2 linked regions of the Macaca mulatta genome follow. The protein of the gene in region 2 purifies or fractionates together with the protein of the main gene of each other region. This does not show direct contact. Links are inferred from orthologs where the notes say so. Each region holds a gene or a part of one and is shown on either strand. Other genes may lie near its edges.

Evidence for each region. The genes of interacting proteins can lie anywhere in the genome.
Region 1: the proteins of CDC123 (region 2) and EIF2S2 purify together in Homo sapiens (affinity purification with mass spectrometry; 4 studies listed by BioGRID and IntAct, counting the BioPlex papers as one, with this or other methods). This does not show direct contact. The link is inferred for Macaca mulatta from reciprocal best matches to the Homo sapiens genes CDC123 and EIF2S2.

The regions. Positions count from the first base shown.
Region 1 is NC_133415.1:86,856,314-86,862,341, forward strand, and holds the end of EIF2S2 (eukaryotic translation initiation factor 2 subunit 2), read right to left. Parts: intron 5,556-6,028; coding exon 5,499-5,555; intron 2,062-5,498; coding exon 1,976-2,061; exon of another isoform or gene 1,367-1,975; coding exon 1,191-1,366; 3' UTR 887-1,190; downstream 1-886.
Region 2 is NC_133414.1:13,749,007-13,755,626, reverse strand, and holds the start of CDC123 (translation initiation factor eIF2 assembly protein), read right to left. Parts: upstream 4,565-6,620; 5' UTR 4,326-4,564; coding exon 4,252-4,325; intron 1,927-4,251; coding exon 1,855-1,926; intron 1-1,854. UniProt on the Homo sapiens protein: ATP-dependent protein-folding chaperone for the eIF2 complex. Binds to the gamma subunit of the eIF2 complex which allows the subunit to assemble with the alpha and beta subunits.

The sequences.
Region 1 (6,028 bases), on a different chromosome or scaffold from region 2:
AAACAACATGGTCAAGACATTTGGGTCTGAGTGACTCTTCCTGGGCTGCTTAGTACGAAGTCTGGCAACAAGAAAGCGAGGAGCAACGTGTATGCCCTTATCCTCAGCAAGTGAGAGCAAGGCAGATCACAGCACAGACACAGAAGATGGCCTTCTCCCGTGTGCCAGCGGAGAATGCCCTTCCAGCAAATCCTCAGGAAGCAGAGCACCACACAAGCAGCATTTCTTGGTTTCTCATGGTCATATTCAAAAGCAACTTTTAAATCAGAAAATAGAAAAGCATTTGTGGTGGGTCTTTTTCAAACCCAGAACACAAGTTGGCTAGGAAAACAGAAAGCTTCCTCTAGCATCCCTGTTTGGACTCCTCTTGGAGGAGTTTCCTGAACCGCACATACATTGCTTCCTCACCAACAGAGATGCTCAACTAGGATCCTTCTTAGTGTGCCAGTTATAAGACACATTTACAGGCTATGTTTCTAAGACCTCTTAGTGGTCAACGAGGAAGGAGGGTACCTAGCACCTTGTATTCCTTCATGTGGTAACAGCTGGGGGAGGACTTGGCGGTGAGGTAGTAGCAACCATCCTCACATAGGGAAAAGAAGTCAAATCTATGGAGTCATTCCCTGGACACTGAAAACAGGCAGTCCTCCCAAGTCTCAAGGTCCCACCACACACGCGTGGGAGGCCGTGTCTGCTTTAACTATGTATCTCAAGAGAAGCAGAGAAGAAGAGAAATGGCTGCCCAGATGAAGTGCCTGTCCAGTTTCTCAGGACAAGGATACAGAGACTGTCAGAGCCCAGGCCCACACAGTTTTCTGTGGTTGGTTTTTTGCTGATTTCACCAAGCACAATTTTTATAGAAAAGAAAACTGAAGGACAAACCAAATTGAAAGAATCACTGTTATAATAACTTTAATTTATCTTGCATTTTACAGAAGTCTATGAACGATTTTAAAAAAGCACCTCCTTACCCCATATCACGTTTCTCTGACAGGTGTTAAAAGTAGGCAATGAGTATGTCAACAGCTTGAACATCAGCGTCTTGCAAGGACTTCAGACCAACCAACCACTCGCCAAAAATCTCGGCAGCTTTTTTATCTTGTTTTTAATACAACGGTATATCCACTCTGATGGCAAACCTGTCCAGCCACATCTCCACAACACGCTTTGCAAAATCAGTGATTAGCAAATTAGTTAGCTTTGGCACGGAGCTGTGCTCGCTTGCCCGTGACAGCCTGGAAGCCGGTTTTGATGCTGGCAACAGAACATCTAGAATGACAAGTTTCGCACTGTAGGAAATAGAGTCGTGTGTCCTTCTGTAGGATTGTGTCCGGTGATCGGCATGTGTGACAAGTGACATATTCCTCTGCAAATAAAGCAACACACAATTACCTGGTGGCCGCAGTGAGGTAGAGAAGTTTCTGCCTTCTTAAATATATCTCCTACAAAGAACTCCATAAGCCCAGGCTGAGAATTTACCTGGGCACCCAGACCAGGGAAGCTCAGCTATCCGAGGGGTAAGAAAACACAAGCTGTCTTGCTGTGGCGTTTCCGGCACTAAACATGGGCTGATACTCAATGCCCCAGGATGCAGGGAAGCCTGCCAGCTTGCTTATTCTTGTTTCTGTCTACAGGAGAGCCACTCAAACGTGTTAGCAGACATGCCAATTTTAAATAACTAGGAACAAAAGGGGGCCAAGGCCAGGCCTGAATCACAGGCAGGTTTCTCTGACTTGGCCTTTAGCCCTACAATCAACCAGCAGCTTCAATCAGCTGGGCTTTCTTTAAAAATCCAAATCCTTCCCTATGCCCCTAGTTAGTAGTCAAGAGCCACCTCCCTTTCACTATCATTTTGTCTCTGATCTTTTTAAGGCCAGCTTTTCCCAGCTCACTGCAATCAAATGGATCTTCCTACAACACTGCAGCCTGATGAGAACATTTCAGGGTGATCTAATTAAATTAATTACACACTTACTGATATATCTTCTCAAGACATTTTCTATCTGTTTCTGTTGGAATCTTCCTTTGATTACAAGTTGGTTATTACCATCTATAGAACCACTATGAAAGAAAACAAAAATATCTCCATTATTATTGTTTTTTTCTAAAGGAACCAAATTCCAGCACCTTTAAACTTAATGAATTTAAAATATATTCAGTAGCATAGGATAAACTCTACGACTGGTGCTATACTACTTAGTTTCCCAAAATTTATTTATTTATTTATGACACAGGGGTCTCATTCTGTCACCCAGACTTGAGTGCAGTGGCGCAATCGTGGCTCACTGCACCTTCAATCTCCCAAGCTCAAGCAATCCTCCCACCTAAGCCTGCCAAGAAGCTAGGATACAGGCACTCCCCACTGTGAACTGAGCTAGGACTACAGGCACTCCCCACTATGAACTGCTAATTTTTTGTTGTTGTTGTTGGTAGAGATGGAGGAGTCTCCCTATGTTGCCCAGGCTGGTCTCGAACTACTGGACTCAAGTGATCCTCCCACTATGGCCTCCCAAAGCGCTTGGGATTACAGGCGTAAACCACCACGCCCAGCCTCAAAATTTATTTTTAATTAAACAGGTTGTGTCTAGGCCGGGCGCGGTGGCTCAAGCCTGTAATCCCAGCACTTTGGGAGGCAGAGACGGGCGGATCACGAGGTCGGGAGATCGAGACCATCCTGGCTAACACGGTGAAACCCCGTCTCTACTAAAAAAATACAAAAAACTAGCCGGGCGAGGTGGCGGGCGCCTGTAGTCCCAGCTACTCGGGAGGCTGAGGCAGGAGAATGGCGTGAACCCGGGAGGCGGAGCTTGCAGTGAGCTGAGATCCGGCCACTGCACTCCAGCCTGGGCGACAGAGCGAGACTCTGTCTCAAAAAAAAAAAACAAAAAAAAAAACAAACAGGTTGTGTCTAATGATGTGCCCATACTAACATCAAATCCAATTAAATCTCCAGTGGTAACAATCAGATTTATAATTGATTTTAAGTCTAAAACAAACTGATTCCTTCATTGTGTGTGAAGTCCATCCAACAAAAGAAAAAAAACTTTTACGAATCATACCATGTACAAAGTAAGGGAAAGGAGAGAGCTAGAAATACAAAAACATGAAAGGGGCTACATTTGTTTTTTAAAATTCTAAGCACCAAATATTTTGATTCAGTCATGGTTAAAAGTATAGTTGATAAAAATACATACTAAAATTGATTGTGGTAGCAGTTATACATATTAATTTTAACATGTGATATTAAAAACCACTGGAGCCAGGCGTGGCTCACACCTGCAATCCCAGCATTTTGGGAGGCCGAGGCAAGCTGATCACCTGAGGTCAGGAGTTCGAAACCAGCCTGACCAATACGGTAAAAACCCATCTCTACTACAAATACAAAAAAATTAGCCAGGCGTAGTGGTGTGTGCCTATAGTCCCAGCTACTGGGGAGGCTGAGACAGGAGAATTGCTTGAACCTGGGAGGCAGAGGTTGCAGTGAGCCAAGATCCGCGCCACTGCACTCCAGCCTGGGCGACAGAGCACAACTCCATCTCAAAAACAAAACAAAACAACATTGGATTGTATATTTTATTTTTATATTTTTTTTGGCAGGGGGCGGGGGGGTGTCCAGGGGTAGAGGTTTAATAGGCAAGAGAGAAAGGAGAATAGCTCGCTCGCTCTTGCGAAAGAGACGGATGTCCGAGTGGGACTCCCCTGGATTATATACTTTAAATTTGTAAGCTGTCATTTCAATCAAGCTGTGTCAAGAAAAAAAAAGGATAGTTGAATCACAATCCAGAAACTGTCAATGGTACTTAATGATAAACTGTTTGATAGGAAACTGTTGACAGGCACTTTTGAGAAAGCAAAGCTCTAGGCTAGATATCATTCATTCAAAATTATAAATCATAAAGTGAAACAACAGAATTCAGTCAGGCAGGGTTAAATTTCCTCCTCCACAGACTGGAACCCTTAATCTCCAGGCTACAGTGATTCCAATGCTTAATGTAGAAATTTTTTTTCATTCACTGTCAAAAGAAATGGAATTTTCTCAAAAACCCATTTAACCCATTTGACTGTAAGTTTACTGGCCACAACTTGTTATAATAGTTTATCCCACCTCTACAAAACCTCTAGATTATTCTAACGATAGAAAAAAACAACACTAGCTTTTGCTTCTTCATTAGTTTGTGCAAGTTACAAACAAACAACGATGGTAACAAATTTATATTTAAAACACGGCGGGCGCGGTGGTTCACGCCTGTAATCCCAGCACTTTGGGAGGCCGAGACAGGCGGATCACCAGGTCAGGAGATCGAGACCATCCTGGCTAACATGGAAACCCCATCTCTACTAAAAATACAAAAAATTAGCCAGGCGTGGTGGCGGGCACCGCTACTCAGGAGGCTGAGGCAGGAGAATGGCGTGAACCCGGGAGGCGGAGCTTGCAGTGAGCAGAGATCACCACATTCCAGCCTGGGTGACAGAGTGAGACTCCATCTCAAAATACAAACAAAAAAACACAATTATTCTACAGCAGAGCCAACATATCTACCATGGTCAAGTAAATTACTCCTTAACCCCACACCAAGGGTAGCAAATCCCAACAGTTTAAAGAGAGTAGGAAGAGAACACTTTAATTATCTCTGTACTGCCAGTGAGGCACAGGTGTCAAGCCTGTTAGGTGATGCAAGCTGCAGGGAAAGATAGACCTGATTGTATCTATCTTGACTTTGCCACTAAGCAAGCTAGCTATGTGACCAACTACAACTTCACTTTACTGAACCTGTTTCTAAACATGAAGACAGGAATATTACTTTCTACTTCATAGAACTATTGTGAAGATTAATTGAGATGGCACCCAAAAAAGCACTTGGCTCACAAGAGGTGCTCAATATGCATTAGTCATCATTATCATAACCTACTCTACATTACTTATTTTTAAAGGGACATTAGGCTTCCAGATAGTAGTCAAACTCATTGGCATGGGCTCCATGAGATCTTGGCCTTCCTGAATGGGTGGGAATGACGTGCTCAGTGCCTTCAAAAGGTGAGCCCTGAAGACAGGTAACTACCTACTTCATCACAGATCCCTGTTTCAATGGTTTCTAAAGTGCCACTCATCAACTTCCTAGCTGTATTTCTTCAATAGCCTGTTACCAATTTAGGAAAAAATAGTCTGACCTTAAAAAAACTGATTCCTCTAAAGATCTAATATTTGCTCCATAAAAAGACTCATGAGTTTCAAATTAGTAACAGGAAAGTCTAAACATGGCAGTTCTGTGGTCCTCTCATTGGTACACCAGCAGGCCTGTTCAGATGTCAACTCTGTGCCCTATTCCTAAGCAGTCAAGCTCTCCCACAGAAACAAAGTGATTTCACTCCTCCACTGGCCTAAAAGTTTCTCTAATAATCAGGTGAACGTTTTCTCTAAGTGTGTTACATATCCTTTTTAAGAAAGGTTCTTATGAAATGTCCAGCAATACTGTATGTAAACGTATATAGTTTCTTACCTTGTACCCAATTCAGCCAACAAAAATGCAAGGAGATGTTTGGGCTGACGATGTAATCTAAAAAGAAAATCAAAATATATAAACCTTATCTTTCATGGAAATCTCACCAAACTTCTAAAAAATCTGTTCATTGTTTTGATCTGTGATTATTTAGCTATTAGGTGAATTTCACTGCATCGTTTATTTAAACTTTGAAATAAAGATAAAGTATATGACACCACTTTTTTTATTGTTAAGAGATTGGGTCTTGTGTTGCCCAGGCTGGAGTGCAGTGATGATCATAGCTCACTGTAACCTCAAACTCCTGAGTCCAAGCCATCCTCCCATCTCAGCCTCCCAAGTAGCTAGGACTACAGGTGTGTGCCACCATGCCGTCTAACTCTTTAGTTTTGTGTAGACATGGGGTCTCACTACATTGATCAGACTGGTACAGAACTCGTGGCTTCAAATGATCCTCCTGTTTCAGCTTCCCAAAGTGCCAGGATTAGAAGTGTGAGCCAAGCCGGATACCACTTGTTTACAACTTCAAT
Region 2 (6,620 bases):
CTAGCTGGGAAGCTGTGGCAAGAGAATCAATGGGAGGCAGAGGTTGCAGTGAGCTGAGATTGAGCCATTCCACTCCAACCTGAGTGACAGAGCAAAACTCCATCTCAAAAAAAAAAAAAAAAAGTCTGGGCGCAGTGGCTCATGTCTGTAATCCCAGCACTTTGGGAGGCCGAGGAAGGCAGATCACGAGGTCAGGAGATTGAGTAAAACCCCATCTCTAGTAAACATACAAAAAATTAGCCAGGCGTGGTGGCGGGCATCTGTAGTCCCAGCTACGTGGGAGGCTGAGGCAGGAGAATCACTTGAACTCACTTGAGGCAGAGGTTGCAGTGAGCAATTAGCCGGGCGAGGTGGCAGGCACCTGTAGTCCCAGCTGCTCGGGAGGCTGAGGCAGGAGAATGGCGCAAACCCGGGAGGCGGAGCTTGCAGTGAGCCAAGATCACGCCACTGCACTCCAGCCTGGGCGACAGAGTGAGACTCCGTCTCAAAAGAAAAACAAAACAGCCGGGCGTGGTGGCTCACGCCTGTAATCCCAGCACTTTGGGAGGCCGAGGTGGGCGGATCACAAGGTCAGGAGATCGAGACCATGGTGAAACCCCGTCTCTACTAAAAATAGAAAAAATTAGCCGGGCGCAGGGGCGGGGGCCTGTAGTCCCAGCTACTCGGGAGGCTGAGGCAGGAGAATGGCGTGAACCCGGGAGGCGGAGCTTGCAGTGAGCCGAGATTGTGCCACTGCACTCCAGCCTGGGCGACAGAGCGAGACTCCGTCTCAAAAAAAAAAAAAAAAAAAAAAAAAAAAAAATTGTATCTGTAAATATCCTAAAGTTGAGACTTGTCTGACTTTCCTACTGTTTCCTTAGCCTCAAATTACTCAAAGTTAATGAGGCGCTACATTAACAATTTTCTGGTTATTGAGGCTCTATGAATACCAAAAACAGAAATATAATACAGAAAACCACATTAAAAACCCAATAGGCAAAAATATGGGGTCCGCTTAGTGTTACTGAAAACACACAATTCTTACTCTATTTCTAGAGTTCCTTCATCCAACACATGTTTATCAAGCACCTCTGCTGTATCAGGCACTGTCCCACCAGCTGGGGTGAACAAATGGGCCACGTCCCTGTTTTCATGAAACTGCATTCTAATGGAACAATTAACAACTGTCAGGTGGAAGTAAGTGTGATGCAGAAAACTGAAGGGAGGTTAGGGCATAGGGTTACTGTCAGGCTATTTTAGAAAGGCTGGTGAGGGCTGAACACTCATAACGTGACTTCTGAGCAGATTCGAATGAAAAAATGAGAACTTCACTAAATCCTATGATTCTTCAATGTTTTCAAGTTTGCATCCAAAAGACTGAAACACAGTAACTTCTTCCCTTTATTCTATAAATAGGCAAACTACCTGAACGGCTTCTAGAAAGTGGAGGTGGGGCCACGGTAGGTCAATTGTGGGGAAGAAAATGTTGAGGAATGAAATGATAAAGCCTAGTAAAGCTTTCTATTTGCAACAATGAATTTTTAATCGTCAAAACTGAAGGATCTCAAAGAATTTTAATGTGCACTTCCCCCACCCTGCCACCTTCAGAAGGAAAACTTGTCATCATAACTGTTTTCTAAAGACGGAGATGAAAGGAACTGCTCAATTTCACAACTTGTCATTATTAGAGGGAAAAGTACTTAATGCTGAAATATTAAGTAAGCATTGACAAGGAATATGAGATAAAGATCAGCACATCATTTTGGCTAGGAGAGAAAAAGAGCTAAAGGGAGAGAATGGTGCCTAAGCTAATTCATTCATTTTATGTGCTTCTTTATGATAAAGTTTAATAAATTTTTTTCTAAAATACTTTACCTTCCTGAAACCACCAGAGTTCCATCATCGAGTAAATAATCCTTCACATTCTGAGGAAGTGGAAGAATGACACTAAAAAAAAAAAAAAAAAAAACACCAAAAAAGGCATCATTTTAAAAGATCAACTATAAGCAGAGAGAAAAATGTTCACCCTTTATTGATTTTGGATTTACTTATTTCAATATAATATAAACGTATTTAATATAAAGTAGAAAATGTTAATGATGTATATTTGGTAGCAGCAGACAAGGAATTAGAATAATATGATTAAATACTGCGGTTCACCTTATTGCCACAAAAACCAGCCAAATCCAAACAATCAGATGGAAATCACAGTATGAAAGCAACAAGCTCAAAAGGATTCTGAGTGAGCACAACATTTCTGTGTCTTTAAGACATCAGAGACCAGCAGATATTTGCTGCAACACAGGAAATGCAGCAAAACAAACCAGAAGATGACTAGCGTTTGGTCACCTTCTAAAGATAGAGGGCAGAAGTAGAGTCAAGATCTGGAAACCATTTTTGGGTTGGCAATGAGCACCCACAGCTAAGAATTCATGATACTTTCGGATGTGTCTTGCTGTCATTCTATTCAGCTGATCACCAGAGATAAAAGCTGCTTAAACTGGGCATGCTTTAGCTTAATTTGTTTCAGATAATCATAATTAAGGATGGCAAAGTCATATTTGAAGTCTCTTAAAAACTTATGGGATAATTTGTTTTTACCTTGAAATAATAAATTATCAAAAAGCCCTACCACAGATACCTAAGAGTGCTGGTATTATTTTGATCTTGAGGCATATACATTTTCAAAAAGTGGAAAAGCTTACAGCCTGCTTTCAGGAAGTTAACACAACATCAGTGACTTATGTCTCATTTATTTATGGAATAAGTTTTTTTTGGCACATTACAAATGATTTTGTGCACAAAAAAAAGAGTATTCATGGGCTACTTCGGTTTTAAAAATAAATATTTGATTTATCAAAAGTACGATTTCACATTCAAAAATCTAGTTCTGGCTGAGCGCGGTGGCTCACACCTGTAATCCCAGCACTTTGGGAGGCCGAGGCGGGAGGATCACGAGGTCAGGAAATCAAGACCATCCTGGCTAACACGGTGAAACCCCGTCTCTACTAAAAATACAAAAAATTAGCCGGGGGTGGTGGCGGGCGCCTGTAGTCCCAGCTACTCGGGAAGCTGTGGCAGGAGAATGGCGTGAACTCCAGAGGCGAAGTCTGTAGTGAGCCAAGATCGCTGCCACTGCAATCTAGCCTGGGCGACAGAGCAAAACTCCGTCTCAAAAAAAAAAAAAAAAAAATCTAGTTCTTCCTCAGGCTTTCAATTTCATCTAACAAATCTTATTATGTTTGAAAATCTACTAAATTTTAATCAATTTCATGTGAAATTTTGTAACTTAAAAGTCTCTTTAAAAATTTAAATTCTATTTATACACTACTCAATTTTCTTTTTTAATGTGTCTATTGGCTGATTACAAACAAGCCTTCCTAAGTATTTTACTCTTACAAAGCTAACAAACGAAATTGTTAAGTACAATGAATCCAAGGTTCTACTAGACATTCCAATACTATTTAAAAACCTGAAACTTTTCTTATACATTTTAACTGACCATTCTGAGCCTATTACACATTTTCAAGTACATACCCAATCTTTATTGAATGAAACCATTATATAATGAATCAGCAATTACTGAAACGTTGGCTCAAAAAAATCAGTAAGTGCAAACCCCAGATTTTCTATAAACACCTTTAAAAAAACTGAGAGACGAAATTGTATATATTAATACTTGCCGCCTACCTAATGCTTTGAAGTATTTATACATTGTGGAATAGTTAAATGTAGCTAACTAACAAATGCATTGCCTAACAGAGTTATTTTTGTGATAAGAATACTAACATCCACTCTCCGTTTTTCACGAATACTATACGTATATTGTCATTATAGTCTCTATGCTATACAACAGATCTATGTACTTGTTCTCGTATCTAACTGTAATTACGTATCCTTTCACCTTCCCAATCTCCAACCTCTGGGGAGGTGGCGTAAAAGCAATTAAGCCACCGGGTGGCCTTGGGCAGTGATCATCTTGAGCCGGGGGCCATTCTAAAAGTAGTGGTGGTGAACTCCCAAGCCTAAACTACGTTAATCCACTACTCCTCCCGCCTCCGACCCTCACTGAAACCACAACTGACCCTCCTAGCCAGCACACTCGCTGGCTTGCAACAAGACGCAGACAACTGCTTACCTACTTGCCTCTCGACACACTCCCTCCCATGCAGTCGCTAGAAGGCCTGCATTTTTTTTGGATGGCAGTAAGATTCGCTCACAAGTCGCGGTTCCCTTTGGCCGGTAGGCCGGGCGAACCCCCTCCCATCTCACCTCTTGATGGTAACGCCTCGGAAGAGCGGGTACCACGCGGAGAACTGGCAGTGCAGCACATGCTCCTTCTTCATTCTCCAGCTGCCGCCGCCGCTGCCTTTCCCTCTCCTGCTTGCACCCTCCGGGAACCCTGGGCTCCGGCCCCGGAAGTGCCCACCGAGCTATTTTGGTTCAAGGACTCTTCCGGTCCCTAAAGCAAGAAGGAACACCGAGAAAGGGAAGCGGAGAAGGACAATCCCGGGGCATACGCTTGACACACACGCACACAAAAAGAGCTTTGGTCTCGAAAGAGGAATTACTGAAATGTTGAGAGAGGAATTTTAAGAAGTTTACAACTCCGTTTTTGCCCTAGACACACACTGACCCGGAAAGTAATCACCTGGAGCTAGGTCAAAGGCGGGGATTCTACGGATGCCGGGAGGAGGGCGCGCGCCCATCCTGTTAGCACCGCGAGAGGCGCCGGTGTCTCGAATCGTGGCACCGGCATCGGCTGACACTGCTGCCTCCAGCTAGTTATTTCGTCCTCTTCCGTTCTTCACCCCTACATCTTGGAGTAAGTAACCGGGACAGGCCAGTCACAACACAAAATCTCTTTGGGGAGGAGAAGTAGAAGGGGAAAGGGAGCACATCTGCATGGTGCGTGCAGCCGCGCGGTGTCTCTCAGGCTGCGGCTGGGCACGCGTCCAGGCGCCCAAGAGGGAAACTGGGGATTGGAGCGGAGGAGCCTGGGCTACTCCGAGTAAAGAAAGCGGGGAGCACCACAGCTAAGTGTTGGTTCCAGTGTAAAGGTTGCAGCATCTGCAGAGGAGTAGAATGCTTGGTAGAGGGAATATCGCCTGTACGATCCTGGGGGGGTTCGACTTTGGGAGGGAAAAGGCGAGAGGTAAATTTGAGAAAGCGGAGGAAAAAGGAGACTTGTCTCCTTTGAGCGTTGTATTCGTTTAGTCTGGCCTCGCAAAAGTTATCAAGCTGGGAAAAACGCAGATTTTTATCAGTATTCCTGCAGTGATCGAATCATAAGACTGGAAGAATTCGAATCGAACTTGTACTATCCTTCTTTTTTCCTTTGCTTCACTCCTGTCACCCAGCAAAGTTCAGTTTTGTTTGTTTCGTTAAAGAGAATGAGAAGTAACCAGCTGCTTTTATTTATTTGAGACGGAGTCTCACTCTGTGCCCAGGCTGGAGTGTAGTGGCGCAATCTCGGCTCACTGCAGCCTCCGCCTCCCGGGGTCAAGTGATTCTCCTGCCTTAGCCTCTCGAGTAGCTGAGAGCGCGCGCGCCTCCACGCCGGCTGATTTTTGTATTTTTAGTAGAGACGGGGCTTCGCCATATTTGCCAGGCTGGTCTCGAACTCCTGACCTTAGGTGATCTGCCCGCCTTAGCCTCCCAAAGTGCTGGGCTTACAGGCGTGAGCCACCGCGCCCGGCCTACCAGCCAGCCGCTTTTAACCCCTAGTCGTGTCGCTTACCCTACGAGCATTTGGCTTGCGCGAGGTATCTATGTCTAAAGATATCTCCTTAAATGTACATTCTTCCTCGTCCACCTAAGCAGTTTTAAATTAGAAACTGCCCCACGGACCGTAGGCCTCTTCAGAAGGGTATTCCTTAGAATAATAAACAGAATTCTCTGCCTATTTTGAGTTAGAAACTCTTCCCCCCAGGAATATATACATTGTTTTAGGTTTTGTTTTGTTTTTCTCAAAAATGTTACTGGCTAAGTGGCTAGTTGGAAGCAGTGCTTTAAAGAATAACATTTTCAAAGCAGAGGTAAATAGATTATAATATTGCAAGGTATGTTGGTGGGGGTTGGACAGTAATGGTTCATTTATGCCTTGATCTGGAATTATGCAGTCCTTTCTGTTTTGAGGGAGAGAAGCAATATTGTATATATGTCTGGAGGGTGGTGGTAGAAAGACTTAATGGCAGGCAGGAGCGGTCGCTCAAATAATTGTTTCGATTTGACTTAGAAAGTAAAAAATTGCAGCGGAAGGAGATGTCAGCATCTTTGGGGGATTTATTTAGGTCAGATGTTTTCTAATGAAGATAGGAGTAAATGTGCGGAAGAAAACAGATCCCGGGAACATTAGCGCTTCCGCGAGGAGCAGTACTTTAACAGCCCAAGAAACATTTGAGCATAGGCCGGTTGCGGTGCCTCATGCCTGTAATCCCAGCACTCTGGGAGGCCGAGGCGGGTGCATCACCTGAGGTTAGGAGTTTGTCCAGCCTGGCCAACATGGCGAAACCCCGTCCCTACTAAAATTACGAAAATTAGCCGGGCGTGTTGGCGCATGCCTGTAGTCCCAGCTAGTCGGGAGGCTGAAGCAGGAGAATCGCTTGAATCCGGGAGGCGGAGGTTGCGATGAGCCGAGA